Pelodiscus sinensis: one gene and its partners. The protein of the gene in region 4 interacts with the protein of the main gene of each other region in a pairwise test. Links are inferred from orthologs where the notes say so. Each region holds a gene or a part of one and is shown on either strand. Other genes may lie near its edges. The genes, in order: NANOS2, IMP3, STK25 and CCNDBP1.

The links.
Region 1: the proteins of CCNDBP1 (region 4) and NANOS2 interact in binary tests that used the Homo sapiens proteins (3 or more experiments, as listed by UniProt). The two-hybrid records come from large-scale screens. The link is inferred for Pelodiscus sinensis from reciprocal best matches to the Homo sapiens genes CCNDBP1 and NANOS2.
Region 2: the proteins of CCNDBP1 (region 4) and IMP3 interact in binary tests that used the Homo sapiens proteins (3 or more experiments, as listed by UniProt). The two-hybrid records come from large-scale screens. The link is inferred for Pelodiscus sinensis from reciprocal best matches to the Homo sapiens genes CCNDBP1 and IMP3.
Region 3: the proteins of CCNDBP1 (region 4) and STK25 interact in binary tests that used the Homo sapiens proteins (3 or more experiments, as listed by UniProt). The two-hybrid records come from large-scale screens. The link is inferred for Pelodiscus sinensis from reciprocal best matches to the Homo sapiens genes CCNDBP1 and STK25.

What each region holds. Positions count from the first base shown.
Region 1 is NW_027465849.1:6,570,514-6,577,822, reverse strand, and holds NANOS2 (nanos homolog 2), read right to left. Parts: upstream 2,837-7,309; 5' UTR 1,729-2,836; coding exon 1,093-1,728; 3' UTR 536-1,092; downstream 1-535. UniProt on the Homo sapiens protein: Plays a key role in the sexual differentiation of germ cells by promoting the male fate but suppressing the female fate. Represses the female fate pathways by suppressing meiosis, which in turn results in the promotion of the male fate.
Region 2 is NC_134713.1:12,403,461-12,409,860, forward strand, and holds IMP3 (U3 small nucleolar ribonucleoprotein IMP3), read left to right. Parts: upstream 1-4,153; 5' UTR 4,154-4,218; coding exon 4,219-4,776; 3' UTR 4,777-5,605; downstream 5,606-6,400. Other genes in the region: PLA2G7 (platelet-activating factor acetylhydrolase), read right to left, coding at 2,092-2,182. UniProt on the Homo sapiens protein: Component of the 60-80S U3 small nucleolar ribonucleoprotein (U3 snoRNP). Required for the early cleavages during pre-18S ribosomal RNA processing. Part of the small subunit (SSU) processome, first precursor of the small eukaryotic ribosomal subunit.
Region 3 is NC_134720.1:284,295-291,879, reverse strand, and holds the start of STK25 (serine/threonine-protein kinase 25), read left to right. Parts: upstream 1-4,240; 5' UTR 4,241-4,399; intron 4,400-6,792; 5' UTR 6,793-6,886; coding exon 6,887-6,916; intron 6,917-7,585. UniProt on the Homo sapiens protein: Oxidant stress-activated serine/threonine kinase that may play a role in the response to environmental stress.
Region 4 is NW_027465987.1:395,521-402,784, forward strand, and holds the start of CCNDBP1 (cyclin-D1-binding protein 1), read right to left. Parts: upstream 3,121-7,264; 5' UTR 2,740-3,120; coding exon 2,649-2,739; intron 1,324-2,648; coding exon 1,264-1,323; intron 1-1,263. Other genes in the region: ZNFX1 (NFX1-type zinc finger-containing protein 1), read right to left, coding at 4,181-6,616. UniProt on the Homo sapiens protein: May negatively regulate cell cycle progression. May act at least in part via inhibition of the cyclin-D1/CDK4 complex, thereby preventing phosphorylation of RB1 and blocking E2F-dependent transcription.

The DNA of each region.
Region 1 (7,309 bases), on a different chromosome or scaffold from region 4:
GCCAGGACTGCACACGGGCTGCCCGGCGTCCAGCGAGAGGGGACAGCAGGGAGGCACGGCCCCACCAGGACCCCGGCTGCCTCCTACAGCGCGCCCTCAGCTGGCCCCTTGGACCTGCCTGCCTGCCGTTTCCTGTGGGGGGTGGGGTTGCCAGTGCCCACTGGAAGCAGGAGGCCCGGTGGCCCGCACATGGCAGGGTGCACTCTACCTCCAGGGCGCCGTGCGTGTCTGGCCGCGTGTAACCCAGAGGCACCGAGACCAGTGAGAAAGGGAGCACGAGGCCTGCTCTAGAGTCTCTTCCAGGCAGCTTTTGGCTCATGTGCTAGAGCCACGCGGCTTCCATCCCTTGCATCACAGGTTCAATCCCGGCCCGGTGCTCCTTCCTCTTGCAAGTGGGGGAGACAAAGGGAGCAACTTCTCTTGCCTGCCCGAAAAGGGGAGCTGTTCCAGAGCAACGCTGGGGAAAAGCCGACCAAGCCCACACAACCAGCTGCCAGAACAACAATACTGTTTATTAAACAGAAGAGAAAGGGGCTATGGGAGTGTTGCATTTAAAAAAAAAAACTCTGCTAAACAAACCCTCAAATGTAACAGAGAGAGAACCACGCCTCCCCCCCACCATGGGTAGTTGCAACTACAAAACGCGGTAAAACGCTACGGAGAGGCCCGTTTTCGCATTCAGTCCTTTTCTGCCATGATTTTCAAATAAAACTCGCAGCAAACGCCTGCAAACGATTCCTGCGGAGTGGAAACAAATAAATACCCATTGGCTTGGGCAAAGGAGGTGAAAACAAAACACATGTAGCGGAGGCAAATGTCTCGCAGCCGTCCATCCCGACGGCTGGTCCTTCCGTGCTGGTTCCCTCCCAGCCGAACTCGCCGCGGGGCCAGGATACAACCCCCCGGCTGCCGTGGGGATTTAAAGAAATGAGGGTGACTCTGGACACGTTAGTTCCACCCTGGACTTGAAATGCAAACTCCGAAACAAACAGCAGAAACCGAAAATTTCCGTTCCAAGCACCTTCGGGCGCCTCCCTGGGGAAAGGTCCCGTGTTTTTGTCCCAGGGCGGGGAAGGTGTCTTCCCCTGCCGTTCACCGGCGCACGACGAAGCCGGCCGAGTTGCGCCCGCGTTTGCAGTAGAGGGACTGCTTCTCTTGATTCTGCGGGCAGTATTTCAGCGTATGGGCCCTGTCGCCCGTGGCCCCGCACACCGGGCAGACGTAGTTGCGCAGTATGGGACACAGCACGGTGCCGTCGGCTTGCTTCAGCGGGTGGGAGGAGTAGACCTTCTTGGACTCCCCGTTGTGCCGGCAGAAGTTGCATATGAGTCTGCCGGGCGTCGGAGGGGTGCCCACCCTATTCTGCTCCTCTGAACCGCTGCTACTGTTGCTCCTGTTCCAACCCGATGGTTTCAGGACCAAAGTGTCCTCCAGGGTCATGTGAAGAGGATCCACAGGGAGGCAGAAGTCTGGGGTCTCGCAGGGGAGCAGACGCCTGGATCCCCTTCTGTGTTCCTCAATGATTTCCCCAAGCACCTTGGACAGGTTCAGGTAGTCCCGCCACATGTTGAAGTCATGTGCGAGCGTGGCTGGCGGACAAGGTGGCCTGGGAAGCATGGTGCTCCTCGGAGCAGCCCCCTCCTCTGCAAACAGCCCCTCCACCCTAGCTCCTTTAATAGGCTTGGCCTGCAGTAGGCAGCATGTGCCAGCAGGCAGCACTGTGCCCATTCAGTGCAAAGAGGTGGAGTCTGGGATTTAAAGGGCCAGACACCAAAACCCTCCGCGCCGGAGTTTGACGGGCTAATTCTCAAGGCTCAGCGGTCGGAAGTCTAGTGGTAATCAGACTCTCCCCTCTTCTAGAAATCCAAAGTCCATGTTCCCCTCCGTTCTGCGCCCGAAACTCGTGTCCTAGCGCAGGGGCAGGCCATGACTTTTGGCCAAGCTCAAGACTTCATGGTGGAGGCCTAGTCAAGATCCAGACTCCAGAGAAAAGAATACGGAGAATAATGATAATACTAAAAGAGTTTTGGGGCCATTCAAAAGGATCTTGTGCTCTGGATTTGGTCCCTGGTCTTCTGCCGGTTGATGACCACTGTCCTTGTGCATTGCTGTCAGAGGTCAGGATCAAACCTAGGACCCTGGGACCTTACTGTGGGAGCCTCCTATTGCATGAGCTAAAAGCTATGCTGCTCTTAGCAAGGGTTGTAACAGACTTATCCTACAGGCCTGCAAAATGCCACTAGTTAGCTGCAGACCATGTTCGTGGGGCAGAAGTGGATACATATTTTATACCCATACAGGGTCCATGTGATGGGGATGGTCGCGCTGAGCCACCCTGGCTTACGGAGGTGTCACAAAACACATCCACAGAAGTCGCAAATGCAACTTCGTTGTAGCTCCCCCGCATTTAACCTTCAAGCCGAGTCAGAACAACATTAGTTAAAAGCGTTTTTAAAGACATTTTAAAATGTTTCAAGGGAGCTTTAGCTGCTCCAGCCCATAAACACTCTTCTGTTCCCCCCCGCCCTCCAAAAAAAGCCAACCCACGTGCGCTTATCTGCTAAAAATTGCCCTACTCAGTTGCAAAGATTGAGAGAGATGTTAACAGAAGGGCCATTAAAAAAGTAATTGACAAAAGTAAGAGAAACTGACCAGCATATCTATAGCAAAGAGTTACTTCACCATGGCTGTATCTACACTGGCAAGTTATTCCGGAAAATCAGCCGCTTTTCCGGAAAAACTTGCCAGCTGTCTACACTGGCCGCTTGAATTTCCGGAAAAGCACTGACGATCTAATGTAAAATCATCAGTGCTTTTCCGGAAAAACTATACTGCTCCCGTTCGGGCAAAAGTCTTTTTCCGGAAAACTGTTCCGGAAGAGGGCCGGTGTAGACAACACAGTAGTGTTTTCTGCAAAAAAGCCCCGATCACGAAAATAACGATCGGGGCTTTTTTGCGGAAAAGTGCGTCTAGATTGGCCATGGATGCTTTTCCGCAAAAAGAGCTTTTCCGGAAAAGCGTCCTGCCAATCTAGACGCGCTTTTCCGGAAATGCTTTTAACGGAACACTTTGCCGTTAAAAGCATTTCCGGAAAATCATGCCAATGTAGACATACCCATAGGTATTCCAGCATAACTCAAAGGCAGAGTAAATAATCTGGAAGAAAGTCATAAGAATGGCCAATACTGGGTCATTCTACGTATCCGGTCTTCTAGCAATGGCCAATGCCAGGAGCCCCAGAGGGAATGAACAAGACAGGGAATCCTCAAATGATCCATCGTGTGTCCCCAATTCCCAACTTTTGGCAAACAGAGGCTAGGAACATCAACTCTGCCACGCTCAGCCAATAGCCATTGAAGCACCGAACCTCCATGAATATATCTAGCTCTTTTTTGAACCATGTTGTAGTCTTCGCCTTCCCAATATCCTCTGCTTGTGCGTTGGGGGAAGCAATATTTCTTCTTGTTTGTTTTCAACCTGCTGTCTTTTAACTTCATGGGGCCCCCTTAGTGCTTGTGTTGGGAGAAGGAGTAAATAACACTTCTTTCTTTACTTTCGCCACATCAGCTAGGATTTTAGGCCTCTATCCTCTCCCCCTTTGGACGTGTCTTCTAGCCGGAAAGTCCCGCTCTTGTTAATCTTTCCTCTCATGCAGGCCTGCACAACTTGGAAAGCGGCGAGGGCCATATTACTGCAAAGAAAACAGCCACGGGCCACAAGGGTAGGGTTTTTTTTTGGGGGGGGTGATACTTTATTAAGATTTTTTTCAATTAAATTAGGCTTGCACAACATACGGCTCCCAATGCCCTTCCCCTCTCCTCTCCCAGCATCACCCTGTCCCCCGTCCCACTGATACCTCCCCTCCTGTCCTTTTCCTCATTGTCTCCACTTGGCCCCCTGGCATTTGTCTGTCCTGCACCCTGACCCTTGGTGCCTTCCCCTTTTTCCTGACCTGCCCCCCTCCCCTCCCCTACTTGGCTTCTGCCTTCCAGTTTGCGGGGCTGCCGGAGCCTTTTTGAATCCGGCGATCACTGGCTGTGACATCACGATGCCACATCACACCAGCATCCTGGCGTCTGCTGGCATCCTGCCCTCTGGCTCGCGCCCCGCCTCCTCGCGCCGGAGCTGCACGCAGGCAGCCCGGCGGTGAAAATCGCCGCACTTCCCCCTCCCCGGCAGCGCTCCGCTCCTCCACCCGGATGGCGGACTGGATAGGACCACGCCGCCTGTAGTCGTCACAGGCCGCACAGTGAGCCCCTGCGGACCGCATGTTGTGCAGGCCTACTCTTACGGGTGCTGTTCCATACCCCTCATCATTTTTCTTGCCCTTTTCTGTACGTTTCCCAGTTCCAGTCTATGTTTTTCGAGATGAGGCAGCCACACCTGGGTGTCATGTTCAAGATGCGGGCGTCTCATGGGTGCAGCAAGGCAGTCTGGTATTTTTGTCTGTTGCTCTGTCCCTCTAAAACGATTTCCAACATTCTGTTTGCGTTTTCGCCGGCCGCTCCACACGGAATGGACCGATCGCAATGACTCCATCCAAAATCTCTGTCTCCAGTGGCAACAGTTACTTTACACCCCCCCAGTGCGAATGGAGAGTTGGGAGCCTGTTTTCCAATGTGCTTTACTTTGCATGGATCAACACGGAAGTGCATCAGCTACGTGGTTGTCCAGTCCCACAATCTGGTGAGAACCCTTTGTAACTCTTTGCAGTCTGCAGTGGGCTTACTGCTCTTGAGTAGTTTTCTATCCGCTGCCAGGTTTGCCGCCTCCCTGTTTCTCAGTTTAGTTCGGAATAGAGTGTGCACACAGGGGTATAGTCTCCGAAAGCTCATGGTACCATCGACATGTTTTGTTAGTCTTTGAGGGTACGTCTAAACTACATGCCTCCGTCGACGGAGACATGTAGATTAGCCAGATCGGCAGAGGGAAATGAAGCCGCGATTAAAATAATCGCGGCTTCATTTAAATTTAAATGGCTGCCCCGCTCTGCCGATCAGCTGTTTGTCGGCAGATCGGGGCAGTCTGGACGCGACGCGCCGACAAAGAAGCCTTTCTTGATCGGCACAGGTATGCCTCGTGAAACCAGGTTTACCTGTGCCGATCAAGAAAGGCTTCTTTGTCGGCGCGTCGCGTCCAGACTGCCCCGATCTGCCGACAAACAGCTGATCGGCAGAGCGGGGCAGCCATTTAAATTTAAATGAAGCCGCGATTATTTTAATCGCGGCTTCATTTCCCTCTGCCGATCTGGCTAATCTACATGCCTCTGTCGATGGAGGCATGTAGTCTAGACACACCCTGAGGTGCTGCAAGACAATTCGTTGTTTTTTTAAGTTTTTCCAGTGACAGACTCACTCGGCATCCCCTCTGGAGCGTTTGGAACAGCCGAGTCATCCCAGAATTGCCACAAATAAATTATTTTTCTGCTAGAACCCTTCCCGAAGAACTCCAAAGACTCCTGTGGCACCTTACAGACTAACAGGTTTACTAACAGGACCTGGGGGTTACAGTGGATGAGAAGCTAGATATGAGTCAACAGTGCGCCCTTGTAGCCAAAAAGGCTAATGGCATATTAGGTTGCATTAAGAGGAGCATTGCCAGCAGATCCAGAGATGTCATCATTCCCCTTTATTCGGCTTTGGTGAGGCCGCATCTGGAGTATTGTGTCCAGTTCTGGGCTCCCCACTACAAAAAGGACGTGGACGCGTTGGAGAGGGTCCAGCGGAGGGCAACCAAAATGATTAGGGGGCTGGAGCATATGACTTATGAGGAGAGGCTGAGGGAGTTGGGTCTGTTTAGTCTGCAGAAGCGAAGAGCGAGGGGGGATTTGATAGCAGCCTTCAACTTCCTGAAGGGAGGTTCCCAAGAGGATGGAGAGAGGCTGTTCTCAGTAGTGACGGATGGCAGAACAAGGAGCAATGGGCTCAAGTTGTGGTGGGAGAGGTTCAGGTTGGATATTAGGAAAAACTATTTCACTAGGGCTGTGTCCAGACTCGGGTTTTTTTCGAAAAAAGTAGCCTTTTTTCGAAAAAACTTCACCTGCGTCTAGACTGCAGCCGCGTTCTTTCGAAATTAAATCGAAAGAACGCGGCTTTTCTTTCGACGGCGGTAAACCTCATTCCACGAGGAAGAACGCCTTCTTTCGAAAGTGCTCTTTCGAAAAAAGGCGTTCTTGAAAGCAAACAGGCTTTTTAGAAAGAGAGCATCCAGACTCACTGGGTGCTTTCTTTCGAAAAAGCGGCTTGCTTTTTCGAAAGTTCCGCTGCAGTCTAGACGCTCTCTTTCGAAAGAGGCTTGCAGTCTAGACATAGCCTAGGAGGGTGGTGAAGCACTGGAATGGGTTCCCTAGGGAAGTGGTGGAGTCTCCATCCCTAGAGATGTTTAAGTCTCGGCTTGACAAAGCCCTGGCTGGGTTGATTTAGTTGGATTGGTCCTGCCTAGAGCAGGGGGCTGGACTTGATGACCTTCTGAGGTCTCTTCCAGCTCTATGGTTCTCTGATTCTATGATTTGGGCATAAGCCAGGGGTGGCCTACCTGTGGCTCTTCTGAAGTTATTATGTGGCTCCTTATTCAGGCGCCGACTCTGGGGCTGCAGCTACAGGTGCCAACTTTCCAGTGCTTAACTTCTGGCTCCACCTCCTCCTCCAAGTGTACTGTCCTCATTCCTTCCCTCCCCCACCGGGCCTCCTGAGTGCCATGAAACAGCTGCTTGCCGAGGGCAGGAGGGGTGGGGATGGAAGCAGAGGAGACTGACAAATTGATGGGGACAACTGACAAATTATTGCAGCTCTTCGGCGATGTACATTGGTAAACTGTGGCTCCTTCTCAGGCTCAGGTTGGTCCTACCTGGCATAAGCTTTCGTGGGCAAAAACCCACATGGATGCATGGCGTGGAAATGAGAGAGGCAGGCATTATTATACTAGAAGAAGGGCAGATCAGGGAGAGACCGTGGAATAATGTGAGTTTGTTTTGGGGTAGACAACGCCTGAGGAAAGACAAGGAAATGAAACGCAATGAAGCTTGCGCAGGTTGAAACGTGGCGCCGTCGGTATTAAAAGGTGTGAGCTGTGAGGGTTAAATCCTAAAATTGGCCAGCGCTGAGGTTGTCTTGTTTGCCTCCCGCCCAGGCAATTATGGGTTGATTTCATTGAGATTGGTCCTGCTTCGGGCAGGGGGGTCTCTTCCAACCTACGATTCTATGATTCTAACGCGCGTGACTACACCAGGACCGTGCTAACGTCGCCTGAGAAAACAGGAATAGTGAAATCCACTATGGAGACTCACCGCTAGGCCCGGTTACCGTTTAGT
Region 2 (6,400 bases), on a different chromosome or scaffold from region 4:
TGGGGGTAAAACACAGAACAGGTGACTACCACCTCCTTTGCATACCTGCTGAAGAGGACATCACAGCATTACAGATTCAGGACTTTGAGATTCAGGGCTGAGCTGACAGTCAAGAGTGATGAGAAGCAGGCAGAGGATTCATAGATTTTAAAGCCAGAAAGGAGCATTATGATCTCCTGTGTATCTCAAGCCACAGAATTTCACCTGGGAGAGTGTTGTGTGGAGGAGCCACAGATAGCTGGGAGGGAGGAGAATGATGAAGGGAGGAGTAAGAGAGCCAGGGGCAGCGATTATTAGAGTGACACAAGGACTAGGAAGCTGGCAGAAGCCTGGGATTGCTGTGGAGATGAGTGGTGATAGTAGACCTTTGATGAGGCAGGATTAGCAGTTCCTGAAGTAGCCTGCATTGAGGAGTTTGACTCATCCTCCCCTCTTCTAGCATTTGCTACCTCCCCATGTTTTGCTTGTCTACATTAGTGTTCTCCACCCTAGCCTGTCCTTTCAGCTCCTACTTTATTCTAACCCCCAAGGTGCTCGCAGTCTTTCAACCCAACACCCATCCTGTGTCTCAAGACTGACCTCCTTTTCCCAGCTAGCTTCCCCTTGACCCCTTCCTCTTTGCTCCTCCCTACTCCTCCCGGCTCCCTTGCCAACAAGAACACCTCCTCCTTCCAAGTGCTCCATGTTGGTTTGCATCCTGTCACAGGCGAGCTGCAAGAGCAAGGGGAGAGGCCGTTTGGAGGTCTGAAATTCCTCCACTATAGCTGTCCCTGTTGGCCAGGAGGAGAAGTTCCTGCTGAAATTCCTGCAAACCTGCTTGATATGTGACATGGCAGCAGGACTGTGGATCAGTATTAACAGGGCTTCTGAATATGTCTCCTGTGATCTCAGACACTCTGCAGGCCAGCCTTCAGCAAAGCCCAAAGGAAAAAGCCTGGTGGTGACCTAACTTATTCTACCTCCAGATTAATCCTTCTAAGGTGCATAACAATTAGTTGGCGCAGAGTGCACCGGTTGATAGAGTTGGTAATGTTTATAACGCACACTGGGATCGACTAGAAAAAATGCTATCCCTTCCTTTACCGCAGGGGTGGGCAATAATTTTTGACAGGGGACCACTCCAAGATTTTGGAAAGTGGTCGAGGGCCGCACACTTCCATGATATTAATGGAGGAGGTAGAGGGTCTGGGATGGAGGTTGGGTGCAGAAGGGAGCTTGGGGTAAGGTATTGGGGTGCAGGAGGGAGTTTGGGTGAAGGAGGCAGTTGTGACCTAGGGCAGAGGACTGGGGTGCAGGGGTTTGGTTTGTGATCTAGGGGAGGGGACTGGGGTGCAGGAGTTTGGGTAGTGACCTAGGGTAGGAGGGGATTGTGATCTGGGAAAGGGGATTGGGATGCCAGATCTGGGAGGGGATATGGATGCAGGAGAGGGTCAGAGGGTTTGGATATGTTGAGTGGGGGGGCAGAGGGTTGGGGAAGAGAGGGTCTGGGGTGTGAGAGGCAGGTTCTGGCCAGGAGACTTATCAGCCAGTAGATCAACCAGCCTGCCTGCCCTGCACCTGCACCTACACATGCTTGTGTGAATAACTGAGCTGAAGGAGAGGGGGGAGGCATGGTGCTTTGTGTGCTGCCCATTATTCAAACAGGCAGCTCCCACTGGCCAGTGTATGGCCAGAAGCCAGCCAATGGGATTGTGCTGGGGGCGAGAGCAGTGTCTGAAGCCTTCCCCCATTCAGTTTTTAAAGAGAAACGGACCTACCACCACTTTTGGGCTGTGGCGCAAGCTAGGGAGCCTGCCTGGAGCTCCACACTGTGTCCATGGGCCAGATCAGGTGGCTTAGTGGACCAGATCCAGCCTGTGGGCTGTACATAGACCAGGCCTGCACGAAGAGGTCTCAATTCTGCAACTGCTTCTTTAGGACACTTCATGTGTGGGAGTTAATTAATGGGATACATAATAAACTGACAGCCTGCACATTTACTAAAAGCTTTCAGGTAACAGGTGCAAAATCACATTCTCCCCCCCCCCCCTTTTTTTTATTAGCCTCCTACAAATAAATAATAACTGCGCCACTGAAGGATACATTTCTTACCTGCTAATTGAATTTGTCCCAATTTCCCTATGCTAGTCCAGAGCAACCAGTAACGGAAATGGAAAAGTAAATGAAATTTTGAAGACTGCATCTTCTATTCATGCAACTTCTCAGTGTTTCAGCTTCATGACCTTTGCCAAAGCAAATAATGTAACACTATATAAACAACAAGTATTCAAAAGCAACAGATATTTAGTTTTGTTTTTAAGGGTGACATCTGGATTAGCAAATGATTCAAAGCCTCCAGTCAGTCTCCTTGACCATTCAAACCTTGCTAAGACTGCCAAGAGAATCAACTAGGAAGCTGGTTTTAGTGATGCGAATTCTTGCTTCACTACAACCAGAACTGAGAGCATCAACTCTTTTCACATAGCACACCCACCAAAAAGCCATCAGATCATAGTTGCACTGATGGTCATTGCAGTCCATTCTGCGTTGCGCCTCCTGTATTCTGGGATATAGTGGGACCCAGTCCAGTCTCCAGCATAATTTAGAGCATTTCCTTGGCATATTTTACATTAGTTGCCAGGGCCCCCTATTGATAGGTAAGGCAGAATTCATCCCTATATATATATATTGCACCCTCCCCACACACACTCTCTCTCCAGCTGAAGGAAAAGGAGGGGGGGGACATTGATTGTTTGGTCCTGGGGCCCAGAATTGCTTTTGTCAGCAGGCCTAGGAATAGTTAAGCTGACCTAAGTCCGCATGTAGACAAGCACTAGGTCAACAGAAGAATTCTTGGAGAGGTGGATTATCTGCCCAATGGGTGAAACCCTCCTGATGATATAGGTAGGGTCCACACTGAAATGCTACAGCAGTGCATCTGTGCCACTATGGTAAGAAGAGCCCTCAGTCCTCATCTGAAAAATGGGAATACTACTGTTTCCCTAATTCACAGCAGTGTGTGAGACACTTCATGATTTGTAAAGTTGCATAAGAACCTTGTATGAAAAGCATGACAGAAGCACAAAGTATGTTCTCTCAGACATTTTTGAGCCTTTAAACTTGTTATACTTGAGTCAGTAAAGAGGCCGGTTGAGTCACCTAAGACAGGCATACCCCTAAACACAAAAGGGTAGCAAAAAGTATCCCAGGATAGCTGATTACAATAGTCCAGAAGTTATTTGTGCCACATATTCGGAAAACTGAAACCCAGCACTAGAGAAGATACTTGTATTTGGAATCTCTCATGTTGGTTAAAAAATGCTTTTTTCTTCAATTCTGTCAGATGTTTCTGGACACTGTAGTAGCCAAACAGTGGGTCTGGTAGCTTGCTATGTCTCACCGCCCCTCCCCCGAGTTGCTTTAACTTTGCTTTCATGGTGCAAGGCTGCCTTGTATTTGCCTTTAATACACAACTGTTTAGTGGGTGTATACACAACTTTAATACACAACTGTTTAGTGGGTGTATACACAACTTTAATACACAACTGTTTAGTGGGTGTATACACAACTTTAATACACAACTGTTTAGTGGGTGTATACACAACTTTAATACACAACTTGGGAGGCCACATCAGCACTGGGCTGGTGGCTGTAAAGCAGGAGTGGGGATCCTTTTTTGAGTGGGGAGCCACTGACGCACAGAAAAAACAGTCAGGGGCTGCAGACAAAAACCCTTCACTGGCATAGCCCCCAGCTAAGGAGAAAGACACTCCCCACATTCCCCCTGCACACCAGAGCTAGGGGGACCCAGCCTGGCACATTTTGAGTACTGGAGCCCCATGGTGGAGCAGCAAGGGGGGGGCTGGAGCACCAGCACAGGCTCCCCAGTTCAGGGGCGATCCTGAGCCTCGGGGGCCACGCCCATGCAAGCGCCCTGGCGCAGCACCACTCTGTGCAGAGGCTCGCGACCAGCCAGCCAGCTTGGCGCATGCGCACCGAAACCACCACCCGCCTGGCAGTCCCTCTCTATCCCGTCATGCGTCACTCCCCAAGCCGCCGCTCTTCTTTCCCCCTATTGAAAACGTGACCGGCGGCAGGCTCCGCTTCTTTCTGGCCAATGAGAGAGAAGGGCAGCAAGCCCCGCCCCCCCTTGCTCGGAGAGCCGGAAGTTCCGGTTCCCCCCCCCCCCACTCGTGGTTGCTAAGGGCCGCTCGCGCTCGTAGCCTCCCCGGCGGCAGGATGGTGCGGAAGCTGAAGTTCCACGAGCAGAAGCTGCTCAAGCGGCTGGACCTGGTGGGCTGGGAGGCGGCCTCGGGGAACCTGGCCGAGCTGCGCGTGCTGCGGCGCTACCGCCTGCAGCGGCGCGAGGACTACACCCGCTACAACCAGCTGAGCCGCGCCGTGCGCGAGCTGGCGCGCCGCCTCCGCGACCTGGGCGAGGCCGACGCCGCTTTCCGGGCCCGCTGCACCGCCGCGCTGCTGGCGAAGCTCCACGGGCTGGGGCTGGTGAGCTCCAAGCGCTCGCTGGAGCAGTGCGACCGGGTCTCGGCCAGCTCCTTCTGCCGCCGCCGCCTGCCCAGCCTGCTGCTCCGCCTGCGCATGGCCCAGAGCCTGCGCGACGCCGTCACCTTCATCGAGCAGGGCCACGTGCGGGTGGGGCCCGAGGTGGTGACCGACCCCGCCTGCCTGGTGACCCGGGCCATGGAGGATTTCATCACCTGGACCGACTCCTCCCGCATCCGCCAGCACGTGCTGAACTACAACCAGGAGCGGGATGACTTCGACCTGGCCTGCTAGCGGGGCAGGGACCCCTGGGGGTTGCTGGCTAATGCACCCCACCATCCTGGGAAGAGACTCGGGGCCCAGATGATGTGCCTCTCCATGCCACGGAGAGCAGTGCTACCCAGGGGCCAGCTCGTCTGTGTTCTGCCTGTCCTTGCCAAGAGATGCCTGGCCTGGTTGTCTTAAGCCTGCTCCCCTCTCTCTCTCTCTGCAAAGGGACTCAGTACACTGTTGTGTCACCAAGTCTGGTACCATGCACCTCCTCTGTGAAGGAACTCCTTGCCCAGATGGACCAAGCCTGGTACCACCAAGATAGGCCCAGCCTGGTACCACCCACCTTCTCTGCAAGGGGACTTGTGGCTCAATTATGCCATCGTGCCTGCTGCCTGTCCCCTCCCATTAAAGGGATTTCTGACCCTGATGTCATTACTACGATGAGCTATTAAGCAGATGTCATAAGTCACTGTCCCTAAGCCTCTGCCTCTGATGTGATGATATACCCTCCTGCTGCAAAGGCCATTAGCAAAATAGACTGAATGCTGTTATGTCATCACCACCAAAGGGCCATCTAGAAGGGACTGATGAACAAATGGCTCTCCTGGCCAGATCTGTTGTTCAAATGTGATGTTAGAAGAGATACAGGGTTTTATAGTTTGTCTTGTCAAAGGACTTCTTAACCAGCTTCCCTTTTGCTTCTCATAATAGTCCTTCTTTCAAAAATAAATCAATGGGGATAATTCTGTTTTCAGAACTGATCTTGGCTAATTATGCTAACGTTGTAATCTGCAGCATTATCTACACCAGTCATCATAATTTATATGTAATAAAACTGAAATTCAGATTGCTTCTTAGAAAATCTATTTAATTTCTTGAAAGCAAGAACTGAGCTCTTTCTTGGTAATATTTTTCCCCTGTCCTACTGTAGTAACATTGAATGTGTTCTGGTTTCACTGCTGAACTGGTTTCACTACTTAACCAACAATTAAATCTAATTGAATTTTAAATGGTTCATTATTAATTTACCTGTGGATTTGCAGGCACCTTTCCTAGGTATGTTCTGTCTTCGTAACAATCACAAATGCATTTTCTGTTGTCTTTATTGTTAGTGTTCTGTTGCATAGTATCTATTACATCTTGCAGATGTATTGTTTATGCTACTTATGTGCTAAATACTTTGCCCCAAGGAGCAAAGAAAGCTAAATCCCTTAAAGGCCGGATCTACTGGTATAGCTGTGAGTTAACACTACGGGGGGGGGGGGGGGGGGGAGCCCTAGGCAGATATACCAGCATAAGCACTTGTTTAGCTTATTTTGTTTGGGAAACTGGTAGCAACTGGTCTCTTGACTAGGAAGTAGAAATATACCAGCAGCTCCTTTCTAGTGTGGCTAAGGCCTTAGAATAAATAATGTGTATGTCTGTTACTTGTCTAGGCACTTAGATGTCTGTTAATATAGAGTCTGGGCATCTTTCTTTATTCTTACAAAACAGTAGCATGGTGGGAGAGGTACAAATGTATACATGTTATAGAGGGGAAACTCGGGCACAGAAGGACTAAAGGCTTATCCTGACTTCACAGGAGAAGGGTATCAGAGGGGTAGCCATGTTAGTCTGGATCTGCAAAAGCGACAAGGAGTCCTGT
Region 3 (7,585 bases), on a different chromosome or scaffold from region 4:
GAGTAGTCGATGGAAATTCCTGACTGCCTTCCACACCCACACTCCCAGCAGCACACTAGCTGGGCCTGGCGTGCCTGGCCTAGGCCAGAAGCCAAGAGCTGTATTTTCAGAGGCAGCCCAGCTCTTAAGTCTACTGCATGACCTGTGCTGGTGTGAAGGCCCGGGCTCTTGCAAAGGCTGTTGTTTCTGCAGGCTTATAAAACCACGACAGGTGTGGAGAATGTTATTGTTCCCATAACACAAGACCTAGAGGGTCACCAAATGAAATGAATAGGCAGCAGGTTTAAAACAAACAAAAGGAAGAATTGCTTCACACAAGGCCCCGTCAACCTGTGGAACTCCTCTCCAGAGGAAGTTGTGAAGGCCAGGACTATGCCACCCAGGACAGAAAAGGATTGTGGGGTTTCATTGCATGGAAGGTGAGGCACACACCCAGCAGGGCGCTGATGTCAGTCATGTGTTCCAGACTCTCCAGAGGAAAAGAAACGAGGCCAGTGACTACCTGGGGTAGGAGATGCAGAAGGGCTTGTCCAGATCAGGCCCAGGGACTGCAAAAGGAGGTGTTGGAACAAAGCCAGCAGAACCGGCCTGGGCCAGGCAGGAGACACATGCTGAGCAGGACTGCTCTCTGCAGGGGACACTCTTCAGGGCTGGCAGAACATGCCATGAGCCACCCTGTTCCGCAGACACTCCACATCCTGCAGCCCCTGGACAGTTCTGAATGGGGAGTAAGCCGTTGCGTGCAATACACAAATGGGTGTGTGTGTGGGCTCTGGGCCCGGTGCCCTCCATCCCTGGGACAAGAGAAACAGATGCTGGGCAGTTCTATTTCCGGGATCCTGCACGCACTGGCTTGACGCTGTTTTCTCTCCACTTACTTCGGGGCAGACGGCCTGGACTATTGTCTCTTCATACAGTACTTTGCTGTTCTGTCCAGCTGGGTGTGAGTGCATGGGGAAGCAAGGAACTTCAGAGCAAAGCTTTTAATAAAATCTGTGATTATGACTATGCAAGTGAGTATCTCAGGGAAATTGGTAAAATGCAGTAATGTTGCACCCATATTCTCCTTCCCGTGTTCCACTTTAAGCTGAAGATGGGTGTGTGTGTGTGTGTGCAGAAAAGGCATCTCATATTTCCCTTGCTCTCCTGACCTAGCCTTAGGTATCAGAGGCACACTTTCTGCTTTCCTTTGCTGATTTGGGAGTTCCTGGAATTCTTTCTTAGATTTGCTTTGATGACTAATTATTAACCCCTCTCTGTGTGCAATGCTGCACAATCCTCATATGCTGGTTGGCTGTCATTTAGAAAAGTCAGATTGTCAACAAAATGTAAATCTTCCAGGCTACTCTGCTGTATCTTTCCACACCTGTTCTCAGAATGGCAGCGGCAAACAGGAGAGCTAAAAGGTGCTGTGGACTGGGAACAGATAACACTCCCCAGCAGGGGCGTTACCTAGGCATGTGCATGTGCAGAAGGGAATCTTTTGATCGCTTCTAGCTTCCTGCAGAACTGGAGCCCAGCTGTACCTGCCTTTCACTCCCGAGTGACTAGCTTATTTTCAAGGCTGCCTTCGCAAGGAAAAGGGACAGAAGCTTATTTTATTATTGTTATGGTTTTAATTAAAGAAAGCTTTGGTTGACTGGTGTGCTTCTTACTCCCTGGGATCAGGAGACCAGCTGGAGGAAATACAAGAGATAGAGTGATCAGTTTCCTGGGGCCATATGGCTGCTCCATAGGGTTCACTCCAACTTGCACTGAAACTGGAGGCCAAGCTATCTGGGGAGCTGACAGATGTGCTCATGGTCTGAAGCTTCTTAGTTGCACAAGAGAATTCACTTAAATTCAAAGATGATCTGCCTCTCTACAAGGGCTTGAGCAGGGCTACTCAACTTTGGAAGCCTCAGGAGCCACAATGATACTCTCAGCACATGCGAAGGGCTGCAGCTTAAGTGTGGTTGCATATACGTGCAAACATATATGCAAATATATGCAAATAGCTTCTTTCACACTGATGGGCATGAATACAACGTTTAAGGCAAGGCTACACAACACACAGGCCCCATTTAAGTCAGTTCTGCTGACATTAATACAATGCAATATTTACCCGAGTTCCACCCATCTGACAGCACTTTGAACAAGCACCGACTGTCCAGGAATTGAACTACTAAAATGCATATTAAGAGAAGACCATTATATTGACTTGCCATTGTGGAGCGTGTTCCCAGTGGAGGCCACCTTCACAGGATCCCACGTCAGCCGTGTGTTGAACCCCATGTAAACCCAAACCGCACCACGGGCCGCAAACAAACAGGCCGTGGACCACATGCAGCCCATGGGCCATGTGTTGAGTAGCCCTGGACTTGAGTGTTTGCTGCCAATGCCACATACATGAAAACAGTTGTCTTTGAAACTGAAAGTCTATTTATAAATATATATTAAGTATATATTTTAGGTGTTAACTCAAGAGTAGCGAAGTGATAGGATGGGCAAGGGACACTAACCCTCACCTGACACTTCCTAGCTCAGCAAGACTTTTTTTACAGTCCTTCGCCATTTTTGCTACAACTTGTAGTAAGAGGGGCAGTGTATAGTCAATGAATTGAGGATCAGCCAAGTGCAAAAAGCCATGCATGTAGGAAACAGTGAGCAGAGTGCACATGTGCCAGGGAACCACGGCTTGCTAACTGGGAAAGATTTCAAGTCAAGTGTTAAAAGTGACCTGTAAAGCAGTTTTTTCAATTGGCTTGCAGCCTAGGATGTATAAAGGACTGATCTTTTACTATCATGAGTCTTTATTCTTACCAATACCATATTTTACATTCATGATATCTCCTGGCTTTGTTGGAGGATGTCTAAACAATGAGAACTCTCAGTAAACAGCACCTGCCTTGGCTGGTGAGATTGTTAAAGATTTAACAAAGGCTTCCTTTATTCAAAATGTGAGTTAGTCATTACAGTTATTTGCCTTTTTGAAGCATCCAAGTGTTTTAAAACAGTCTGATTAAAAGTATTTTTTCCCTCCCCAGGGAAAATAACTTTCTTTCTTCTCATCATTTACTCTAGCTCTGTCATCATCATCTTTCACCCTTGACCAGACCTGAGCTCCTAATGTACAAGCCAGCTGAGGAAAGAACACCCCACCCACTTACAGCTCTGAAAAGATTTTAAGCTTTCCTTGTTCATTACAACAAAGCAATAAAAAGGCTCAAGCTCACCTTCAAAAGTCAAGTTCTCTCCCCAAAGGGAGTGCCATGAGTGAGTGTGAAATGACGCAGGGACCCAGCAGAGGTCAAGGTGAGCAGATAAGCAGCAGCACAGGCATCTGCAATTGTTTGAGGTGCCAGATTTGAGTTCAGGAAGGCAAAGGGCAGCCAGCTCTGAGTAACTGCCCTGGGCGCTAGTAGGTAGAGCAGCAGGTTGGGTGACATTCCCTTCTGCCCTGCCTGCAGCACTCTTCTCCTTCTCTTGCTTTGGGGCAACAGGCTTCCCTCTCACCCTGCGGGGATCCTCTCATCGTACCCCCCCCCATGGTATTGTTGCTCTCAGTGGCTCGGCCAGGAGAGGGGCACGAGGCAGGAGCAGAGACTCTACAGCCGGGGGGGGGGGGGTTCGTCTGCAGAGGGGAGAAGCCGGGGGCCCAGCCCAGTTTCTGTAAGGGAGAGGTCTTGGCATGGGGGAGGGGGAGAATCGCCCTTCCTCCCCGCCAGGCCCCCAGGGAGGGGCCCCTGGAGGGGCCGAGGGGGCTCCCAGGGAGGGGCCCCTGGAGGGGCTGAGGGGGCTCCCAGGGAGGGGCCCCTGGAGGGGCCGAGGGGGTCCCCAGGGAGGGGCCGAGGGGGCTCCCAGGGAGGGGCCCCTGGAGGGGCTGAGGGGGTCCCCAGGGAGGGGCCGAGGGGGTTCCCAGGGAGGGGCCCCTGGAGGGGCCGAGGGGGTCCCCAGGGAGGGGCCGAGGGGAGGGCCCCTAGAGGACGTTAGGGGGAACCCCAGGGCCGAGGACGCGGCGGGGGTCGCTGCCCAAGGACCACGCCAGGGGGAGCGAGGCGGCTGGGGGCTGTAGTCCTCTCTTGCCCCGAGGCCGCTGCGCTCCGGCCGAGCAGCGGGGCGAGCGAACTACATTTCCCAGAAGGCTCCGCTCTTCCCGCCCCGAGCCGCCTCGCCCGTTGCCTGCCGGGTACTGTAGTCCGCAGCCTGACTCCACCCTGCCGGGCGGCCGAGCGGGAACTACCCGTCCCAGGAGGCTGTGCGGCCCGCCCGCCTCTGCGCGCTGTTGTTGCGTCTCGCTCCCCCACCGCTGCTGAGTTCGGTGTCCGGGGCGGCCCCCTAGAAACCGGCGGCGCGCGCAGCGAGAGCGAACCATGGAGCCGCGGCGCGGGGGGCGCTGAGCGCGGCCTCCCCCTCCCAGGTGGCGCTGCGGGCAGGGGCGGGGGGGGCAATGGGGGAGGGATATAAGGGAGGCGGGGGGGAGGGGTGAGGGAGACGCGGGGGGGAGGGGCGGGGAGGGGTGGGGTGGGGTGAGGAAGACGCGGGGGGAGGAGGGGCGGGGAGGGGTGGGGTGAGGGAGACGCGGGGGGGGAGGGGCGGAGGGGGGAGGGGTGAGGGAGACGCGGGGGGGGGAGGGGTGAGGTGAGGGGGACGCGGGGGGGGAGGGGTGGGGTAAGGGAGACGCGGGGGAGGAGGGGTGGGGTAAGGGAGACGCGAGGGGAGGAGGGGCGGCGAGGGGTGGGGTGAGGGAGACACGGGGGGAGGAGGGGCGGCGGGGGGTGGGGTGAGGGAGACGCGGGGGGAGGAGGGGCGGGGAGGGGTGGGGTGAGGGAGACGCGGGGGGAGGAGGGGCGGCGGGGGGTGGGGTAAGGGAGACGCGGGGAGGAGGGGCGGCGGGGGGTGGGGTGAGGGAGACGCGGGGGGAGGAGGGGCGGCGAGGGGTGGGGTGAGGGAGACGCGGGGGGAGGAGGGGCGGGGAGGGGTGGGGTGAGGGAGACGCGGGGGGAGGAGGGGCGGGGAGGGGTGGGGTGAGGGAGACGCGGGGGGAGGAGGGGCGGGGAGGGGTGGGGTGAGGGAGACGCGGGGGGAGGAGGGGCGGGGAGGGGTGGGGTGAGGGAGACGCGGGGGGAGGAGGGGCGGGGAGGGGTGGGGTGAGGGAGACGCGGGGGGAGGAGGGGCGGGGAGGGGTGGGGTGAGGGAGACGCGGGGGGAGGAGGGGCGGCGAGGGGTGGGGTGAGGGAGACGCGGGGGGAAGAGGGGCGGGGAGGGGTGGGGTGAGGGAGACGCGGGGGGAGGAGGGGCGGGGAGGGGTGGGGTGAGGGAGACGCGGGGGGAGGAGGGGCGGGGAGGGGTGGGGTGAGGGAGACGCGGGGGGAGGAGGGGCGGCGAGGGGTGGGGTGAGGGAGACGCGGGGGGAAGAGGGGCGGGGAGGGGTGGGGTGAGGGAGACACGGGGGGAGGAGGGGCGGGGAGGGGTGGGGTGAGGGAGACGCGGGGGGAGGAGGGGTGGCGAGGGGTGGGGTGAGGGAGACGCGGGGGGACGAGGGGCGGCGGGGGGTGGGGTGAGGGAGACGCGGGGGGGACGAGGGGCTAGGCGAGGGGTGGGGTAAGGGAGACGCGGGAGGGGTGGGGTAAGGGAGACGCGGGGGGAGGAGGGGCGGCGGGGGGTGGGGTGAGGGAGACGCGGGGGGGATGAGGGGCTAGGCGAGGGGTGGGGTAAGGGAGACACGGGGGAAGGAGGGGCGGGGAGTGGTGGGGTGAGGGAGACGCGGGGGGAGGAGGGGCGGCGAGGGGTGGGGTGAGGGAGACGCGGGGGAGGAGGGGCGGGGAGTGGTGGGGTGAGGGAGACGCGGGGGGAGGAGGGGTGGCGAGGGGTGGGGTGAGGGAGACGCGGGGGGACGAGGGGCGGCGGGGGGTGGGGTGAGGGAGACGCGGGGGGGACGAGGGGCTAGGCGAGGGGTGGGGTAAGGGAGACACGGGGGGAGGAGGGGCGGGGAGTGGTGGGGTGAGGGAGACGCGGGGGGAGGAGGGGTGGCGAGGGGTGGGGTGAGGGAGACGCGGGGGGACGAGGGGCGGCGGGGGGTGGGGTGAGGGAGACGCGGGGGGGACGAGGGGCTAGGCGAGGGGTGGGGTAAGGGAGACGCGGGAGGGGTGGGGTAAGGGAGACGCGGGGGGGAGGAGGGGCGGGGGGGGTGGGGTGAGGGAGACGCGGGGGGAGGAGGGGCGGGGAGGGGTGGGGTGAGGGAGACGCGGGGGGAGGAGGGGTGGCGAGGGGTGGGGTGAGGGAGACGCGGGGGGAGGAGGGGTGGCGAGGGGTGGGGTGAGGGAGACGCGGGGGGGACGAGGGGCTAGGCGAGGGGTGGGGTGAGGGAGACGCGGGGGGGACGAGGGGCTAGGCGAGGGGTGGGGTAAGGGAGACGCGGGGGGGAGGAGGGGCGGCGAGGGGTGGGGTAAGGGAGACGCGGGGGGAGTGAGAAGGGGGGCAGGCGGAGCAGTGGGGAGGGGTTCGGGGCAGGCTGGGCGCTGGAGGCAGGGGGTGAGTGGGGGCAGGCTGGGCCCTAGGGAGCTGAGCCCAGGCTGGGCAGGCTGTGCAGCCTAGGGGTGGAAGCGGTAGGGTTGTTCAGGGCTCTGACACTGTTCCTGCCTGTCTGAAGCAAGTCTCCCCTGTCTCGGAAGGCCCAGGGTCGTTGGGCTGTTGCCAGAAGGGGTTGTGCTCTTGGGAATGGTTGGGGGGCTCACCATGCCGTGGCTAGAGGAGGAGCAAGCTAGACTCTAGGAGCTCTGAGTATAGCAGCTGTATTCTGGCCCATCACAGCTGTTTGGTGGCTGAGAGAGCACTGCTCATCCCTGTGCTACAGGACCCCGGCCGCCTGGTGTCAAGGAAGTGGGTGTCTTAGCAGCCTCGGGCCATGGCTCATCTGAGGGATTTTGCCAATCAGGTAGGTGAGAAGGAATAGTTTTTGAAACATGATACAAATCCTCAAAGCAAAAGTCTTTGTTTTAAGAACTCTGTCGTCATTTACCAAGGTGGGGATGTCCCACCTATGTTCTCAGCTGTGCTGTTCTGATCCAAAGGGTTGCTGTCCTAGTCCCTGAAAGAATCAGGCTTTGACACTGCCATGGAGGCAGGAAGCAAGAGACTGGCGTGGATACAGTAGCTCCCTAAATATAACTGTGACCTCCTTAGGGAAGTGGGGAGTGTTTTTCTCTCTCAGCATTTGAGGGGAAGTGGGATAAGAAATGGGACAGACATGCAAAGTCTGAGTTACAGAATGACCGGCCCCTAGTATAATGGACTGGATGTACATCAGTAATAGCCACAGTGAGCATCCTGTGCCAAGTAATTTTGGAGATGGATGAGAGGCTGGTCTGCTTGGCCCTAAATCAGGTGCAGGCAAATACCAGCCCACAGGCCGGATCCAGTCCGTCAGGGTTAGCTCCTGGTCAGCCCCCACTGCTGTATTTCCCTGCACGGCCGCAGGTAGCCGTGATCTTGGCTAATGGGAGCTGTGGGAAGCAGTGTCTTGGTCTGCCATGGTATAAATCTGTAGCGCACCCACGCCTGGAATATAGTGTGCGGTTCTACTCATCCTGTCTTAAAAGAGAGA
Region 4 (7,264 bases):
GCTATGCCGTCCCATGCATCAGAACGCTCTGCCCAGTGAGACATGGCGTACAAAGCTATGCTTCGCTGTCCAAAACAAGGTGCACGTCTTTTTCCTGGCTAACCGCAGTTCATTTGAAACCTGATTTATTGTTCTTACAAGATGCATAACCTTGCCTATCACTAACTTTGTCTTGTTACCATACTACAGATCACTCAGCGTTACCCATTCACTTACCTTAGTTAGATCCCTATGAAGTCCCTCAAAGACTTCTCTGATTTTGCCTCATCTATAAAATTTGCCACTTCACTGGTCATTTCTATTTTCAGATCATTAACAAAAAGAAAGCACCTACCACTCTCAGTATAAAGACCCACAGGGCACTCTTTGCTCAAGACATGCCATATGGTAAACTGGTCATTTATTGCTCCTCTCCTTGGTCTCTTAGCTAGTGTTCAATCCATGACAGCACTTTCCCTCTCGCTTCATGAATTTTGGCAAAAGGTTTTCAAAGATGTAACTGATTCTCATTATTTTTCTGTATGGAAATTGTTCCATGTTTTTTAATTATAGTTTCAGCCTCTTAACCAAATTCTGAAATAAGGCTCACTGATCTGCAACTCACAGGATCACCATAGCACCTCTTAAAAAGGGATACAATTTTTATTGGTTTTAGTAATAGTTCAGCTACATCCAGGTAAATTTGTTCTCAGCTCTTGGATGTATGATGCTTTGTAATATGTTGCTTTTTAATTTAGCTACTTAGTCCAGCACCTCCTGCTTTGGGTTGATTTAGTTGGGATTGGTCCTGCTTTGGGCACGGGGCTGGACTTGATGACCTCCTGAGGTCTCTTCCAGCTCTATGATCATCCTCTGACAGGTTCATATCCATTAACTGAAAAAGCAATGAAGTGGCTTCCCCAATTACGGGACTGAATTTAGCAAACCCCAAAAGCACTGCCATAAATTCAACTTGTAAATTTCTCCAAGAGTGAACATCTTAAGACCCCCATGATGTTTTTTAATTGTGCAATCCGATACTGAGGGCAGGGCTCGTAAAACCTTTGGAAGCTGTTCTGAGGGAAATCGTTTGCGCTTGCGGACCAAGTGCCAGCACAACATGAGGTCCCCGGTGCGGTCCCTGGCGGACCAGCAGAAGCTCCTGGGCGGTTTCTTTTCCACATTGATCCCTTTAGCGCACCGCTCTTCAGCTGGGCTCCTCCACTGCAGCCCGGGGCCCGTGGGCTGGGAGTCCTGGGCCCGCCCGCCACACCAGGCCCTTACCCAGCGTGTCCCAGAAGCGCTGCTGCTCGAAGGCCTCACTGCTCTCCCGCGACTCCCCATCTGCAAAGACACCAGCGCGGCGCTCAGAAAGGGCCGCCTCCCCGCCCGCCCCCCGGGCCACCGCCGCCTCCCCCGGATCCCCCCCCGCCCGCCCCCCGGGGCACCTCCGCCTCCCCCGGATCCCCTCCGCCCGCCCGCCCCCTGGGGCACCGCCGCCTCCCCCGGATCCCCTCCGCCCGCCCGCCCCCCGGGGCACCGCCGCCTCCCCCGGATCCCCTCCGCCCGCCCGCCCCCCGGGGCACCGCCGCCTCCCCCGGATCCCCTCCGCCCGCCCGCCCCCCGGGGCACCGCCGCCTCCCCCGGATCCCCTCCGCCCGCCCGCCCCCCGGGGCACCGCCGCCTCCCCCGGATCCCCTCCGCCCGCCCCCCCCCGGCACCGCCGCCTCCCCCGGATCCACCCCCGCCCGCCCCCCCCCGGCACCGCCGCCTCCCCCGGATCCCCCCCGCCCGCCCCCCCGGGCACCGCCGCCTCCCCCGGATCCCCCCCCGCCCGCCCCCCCGGCACCGCCGCCTCCCCCGGATCCCCCTCCCGCCCGCCCCCCGGGGCACCGCCGCCTCCCCCGGATCCCCCCCGCCCGCCCCCCGGGGCACCGCCGCCTCCCCCGGATCCCCCCCCGCCCGCCCCCCCGGCACCGCCGCCTCCCCCGGATCCCCCCCCGCCCGCCCCCCCGGCACCGCCGCCTCCCCCGGATCCCCCCCCGCCCGCCCCCCGGGGCACCGCCGCCTCCCCCGGATCCCCCCCCGCCCGCCCCCCGGGGCACCGCCGCCTCCCCCGGATCCCCCCCGCCCGCCCCCCGGGGCACCGCCGCCTCCCCCGGATCCCCCCCGCCCGCCCCCCGGGGCACCGCCGCCTCCCCCGGATCCCCCCCCGCCCGCCCCCCGGGGCACCGCCGCCTCCCCCGGATCCCCCCCGCCCGCCCCCCCGGCACCGCCGCCTCCCCCGGATCCCCCCCCTCCCGCCCCCCGGGGCACCGCCACCTCCCCCGGATCCCCCTCCCGCCCGCCCCCCCGGCACCGCCGCCTCCCCCGGATCCCCCTCCCGCCCGCCCCCCCGGCACCGCCGCCTCCCCCGGATCCCCCCCGCCCGCCCCCCCGGCACCGCCGCCTCCCCCGGATCTCCCCCCGCCCGCCCCCCGGGGCACCGCCGCCTCCCCCGGATCCCCCACCGCCCGCCCCCCCGGCACCGCCGCCTCCCCCGGATCTCCCCCCGCCCGCCCCCCGGGGCACCGCCGCCTCCCCCAGATCCCCCCCCGCCCGCCCCCCCGGCACCGCCGCCTCCCCCGGATCAACGTCCCCCGCCCCCCCGCCCCGCCCCGCGGCCGCACCTCGGAGCCGGGCCAGGGCCGCGCGCAGCACCTCGCCGAGCTGCCTCAGCGGCTCCAGCGCCCGCGCGAGCTCCGCACCCCCCGGCTCCATCCGCTCAGCCCCAAGGTCTCTGCGCTTTCTGCGCACGCACACGGGGCGTGGGGACCGTCAGCAAAACACGGCCGAGCAATGAGCCGGGCGCCGCTCAAAGGGGCTCGAGTCCGGACTCCAGCGTCAGAGCACCAGGACTACTTCCGGCCTCGCCGGAAGTCTACTCAGTGAGACCCCACCCCGAGCTACTTCCGGCCGAGGCCGGACCCCATTCAGTGAGGCACCAGGGTCACTTCTGGTCGCGCCCTGCCCCGTCTTCAGACCCCTCCTGCCCCCAAGCTACTTCCGGCCCCGCCCGGGCCTCTCCTAGTCAGACGCCGGAGCTATTTTGGGGCACCCGGCCTTGGCCACTGTGGCAGACAGGATGCTGGTCTAGGTCCCTGAGACCCCCCCCAGCTACTTCCGGCTGCGCCCTGCCCCCACCGAGTGAGTCACTAGAATAACTTCCGGCACTTGAGGCACCAGGGTTACTGACCCTAACCCATCCCTGAGACCCCCCCCCCCAGCTACTTCCGGCTGCGCCCTGCCCCCACCGAGTGAGTCACTAGAATAACTTCCGGCACTTGAGGCACCAGGGTTACTGACCCTAACCCATCCCTGAGCCCCCCCCCAGCTACTTCCGGCTGCGCCCTGCCCCCACCGAGTGAGTCACTAGAATAACTTCCGGCACTTGAGGCACCAGGGTTACTGACCCTAGCCCATCCCTGAGCCCCCCCCCCCCCAGCTACTTCCGGCCAATTCCCAGCCCTCAGTGAGACTCCACAGCTGCTTCCAGCAGCGCCCGGATCCGATTCAACGGGTCACCTGAGCTACTTGCAGCCGAACCGGACCTCGCTTAGTGGGGCACCAGAACTTCTTCCGGTCACGCGCTCCCCCGTCACTGAAACCCCACAGCTACTTCCGGTCGTGCCCGAGCCCTTCCTTGGGGCACCAGAGCGACTTCCGGCCGCGCCAATAGTGGGCCGGTGGGGAGGAGCGGACCTGTAGCGGGGTGTCCCGGTCTCTCCGGGGGGGGGCGAGGCTGCTCCCAGGAAATATTGCATTTAAATGACTATGAATAAAATTTATTGAGCTATAAAAGATTGAGGGTTAAACACTCAGTGCAATGAGCAATAGCCAGAGCTACTGCAGGGGCTGATGCCACCGACTGGTGCCAGCCAGCCCTGGAACTACATTAGGCCCCGCGCATGCTTCAGGCTAAAGCAGATGAATTTGTTACATCTATTTCATTCAGTTGCTTGATTCGACATATAAAGTGCGAGTAGGAAATAGGACTAGTTCTAGCAACAAACACAGCAAGTGTTAATCACAAGAAATCCAATTTGTCAAACAGAGCCAGTGAGCACCCGCTGGCTACTCCACGTGCTATGCAGCTTGGCAGTGGGGAAGAAAGAGCATTCATGGGGTTAAAAGGTGTACTACTGAGCCAAATGTAGCTCTTCTATATCATCCTGCGGAGTTCCTCAAAGTTGAGCATGTTATTTGCAGTTTCTGACCAGGCCGCATGAGTTGCCCCATCCATTTCAGGAGCTAAACGGTTGCTGTGTTCCAGAGTGTGGTTTGCACCTCCAATAACTTCCTTACACTCTGGGCACTTGCTCTTCTCCATTGCCCCACCACAATCACCAATCACGTAAATGTGGCCATTGGGGCACTTGAACCAGTGACCTCGTGGATAACCCAAGGCACTAACAATCTGCACTCGCTCCTCCTCCGAGATTCCCAACCCAGACTCTGGAAGAGCTGTCTTTAGTTCTTCCATTTTCCTCTTCACCACCTTTTCATCCTCTTGGGTGAACTTCTTTGTTCCCTCTAGGATCTGCCGCAGAGCACCAATTTCTCTCGAGATAGAAGTATTCATCTTTGCAGTTGCTGTTTTGCATCTGGCCAGGAGACTCACAAGATACGTAAGCCTCTGAATCTCACTCTGAAGGTCAACGAGCTCCTGGCCCGTGAAGCTTAGTCGGGGCTTGTCCAACCACTCCTGAATTTCAGCCAGTCGCATCCTCAGTCTTTCCTTCTCATTCACATCAACCTTGTTCAGGGAGCTTGTCAGCTCCCCCAAGCGCCCATAGAAGCCAATCAGGTTCTCAAGGAGTCCAATACTCTTTGTGGAGAGATCAGGGTGTATCAACTTCTCTTCCAACAGAAGGTATTTAGTGGGCAGATTCCTTCGCAGAACAGCCTTCCCTTCCAGCACATCCTGTAGTCTGTGCCTGCTAGTTTCAATTTCACTTACAGGGCCTTGGATTCTCTCCTTCACTCTCTCTATTTCCTCCAGCCGCCTTTTTACTATGGTGCCATACCTCAGGTTCTTCCTAATGGCTGTCTGACAGCTGGGGCAGACCTTCAGCTTGATGACAGTTTCATCTTCATCATCCATGTAATGGTCAAGGCCTTGGGCCTCAAAGATGTGGCCACAGTCCTCCAGCTCCACAAAGCGAGCATCTGTCTCATCTTCATAGCCAAAAAAGATCTGGGTGATTTCATCATGGTGACAAACACGGCACTTTTTTGGGCAAGGTTCCCCACACAACCCAATGCATGGATGACCACAGTGCAGTAGCTTGGTGCATGGTTCATCGCAACGGGGCCTGTTGCACGGTTCAGAGCAAAGCTTGGTACACTGATAGTGCTGACAGCGCCACTCACATGGCTCCATACATGGGATGCACATCTTTCCACATTTCTTTTTGCAACGACTGTGGATACAGTGGTTCTGACAGGTTTGCTGGCACGGAGGGCATTCTCTGGTGCAAGGCTGCTGACATTGGTGGGAGCAGATCAGGATGCGCTTACAAGGGCTCTGACAGTGCTCATGAAATCGCCCTTCAAAGCAGGTATAGCAGGAACCCGGGCATGCATGGCCACAAGCCAGTGAGACAGAGCATTTGGTTTTGCATTTCACAGGCATCCCATGTTTCATCTCCTCTGTGATCCAGCACTTCACCTCCTGGTCGTGGCCACATTTCAGTGTGACCTTAACCATTTCGAGACACTGCACACTGCATTCCTGCCCACAGGACATGCTGCATTTGTGCCCACATTTCAGATATTTCTGACAAGGCTCTTGACAGCAAAACTTGTTCACAGGAGTGGAACAAGGGACCATCTGCTGGTGGCCACACTTTGGGATCGTTTTCTGCACTTCCACTATGCATTGTCCACAGTTCTCAAAGCACAACTGGGGGCAACGATGGCCATCTCCGCAGAGCACCTTTTGACAGGGCTTCATGCACTGAAACTCTTTGTGCTCTAAGTCATAGGGGTGACATGCTCGAGTGCAGACATGTCCACAACTCAGCCTGAATTCACAGGGGCGACTACAGCCCCCTTCAGGAACTCTGCAGAAGTCTGCTCCCTTGCACACCAGTGTCCTAGTGTCAGGATGGTTCTGACAGCACAGCATGAGTGAGCGACCAATATGACCCTTCTCCCGCAAGATGTGAATGATCTTGCTCCACAGAGGCACCTTGGCAAGCATTCTCATATTCCCAACACAGTAGAGCCCTTTCTTAGCTCTGGATAATGCTACGCAGATCCGGTTTGAAATCTGCAGGAACCCAGCTCTCTCTTCCTTGTTACTGCGCACAAGTGACAGCAAGATAATGTCATTCTCCTCACCTTGATACTTATCCACCACATGAACCTTTACACCTGCAAAGATCTTGGCAGGCATGAGTTTGCGCAGACAGAAGAGCTGCCCAGTGTAGGTGGTGAGGATGGTGATTTGAGAGGGCAAGTAATCCTGGCACAAGAAGTATTTGCACAACTCCACCACAAACTGGGCCTCATGTGGATTCTGGTGGCTTTTCCCTTCCTGAATCTCCTGTTCCAGGAAGTCATGCTCCACAAAGAAAAGGTTCGATAAGACCCCCTGAAAAGATAAGTGGGGGAAACGTTACCAAAAAAAAAACATTCTAATTTGCCAACTCTGCAAGCCCCTTTCATGCCTTTCATGATCCACTTAGCAGTTCTCTGTAAATTACTTGGATTCATGGTGAGGAACCCTGGTGATTGTACACTTAAGGCAAATATCCGTCAGTCAGACCCTTCATAACATACCTAGTAAGGGAGAGTTTGGGAGCTTGTTGGCCCGTGTTCCACTGATAAATCACTGACTATTCCAGAAATCCAGAAGCATGCAGAGGATTTGATTTCTTATATTTTAATTAGAGACCCATGCCTACCTTTTATTCTTTAGGTTACCCAAAGGAGTTCCCAGGCTACAAATGAGCAATCACAGCTCATTCATTCACACTAGTCAGTTTAAGGGCAGGTGGAAGAAATGGGTGATGACAGAGCCATGCACAGCGTTTATTTACTAGATACCTACTAGCCAGGATGAAAAACACTTGCAGTATCCCACATGCATAAGACCCTTTTTCATTTTTCTCTAACACGTACATGCAGTACTTGTGGGCCACATAATGCGGGGTTCTGTGTATGACTCAGAGTTTGTTGTGTCCAAGTAAGCGTATATTAACTTTGAGAGGTCTGAATTCCCTTGTCTCATCACACTGTT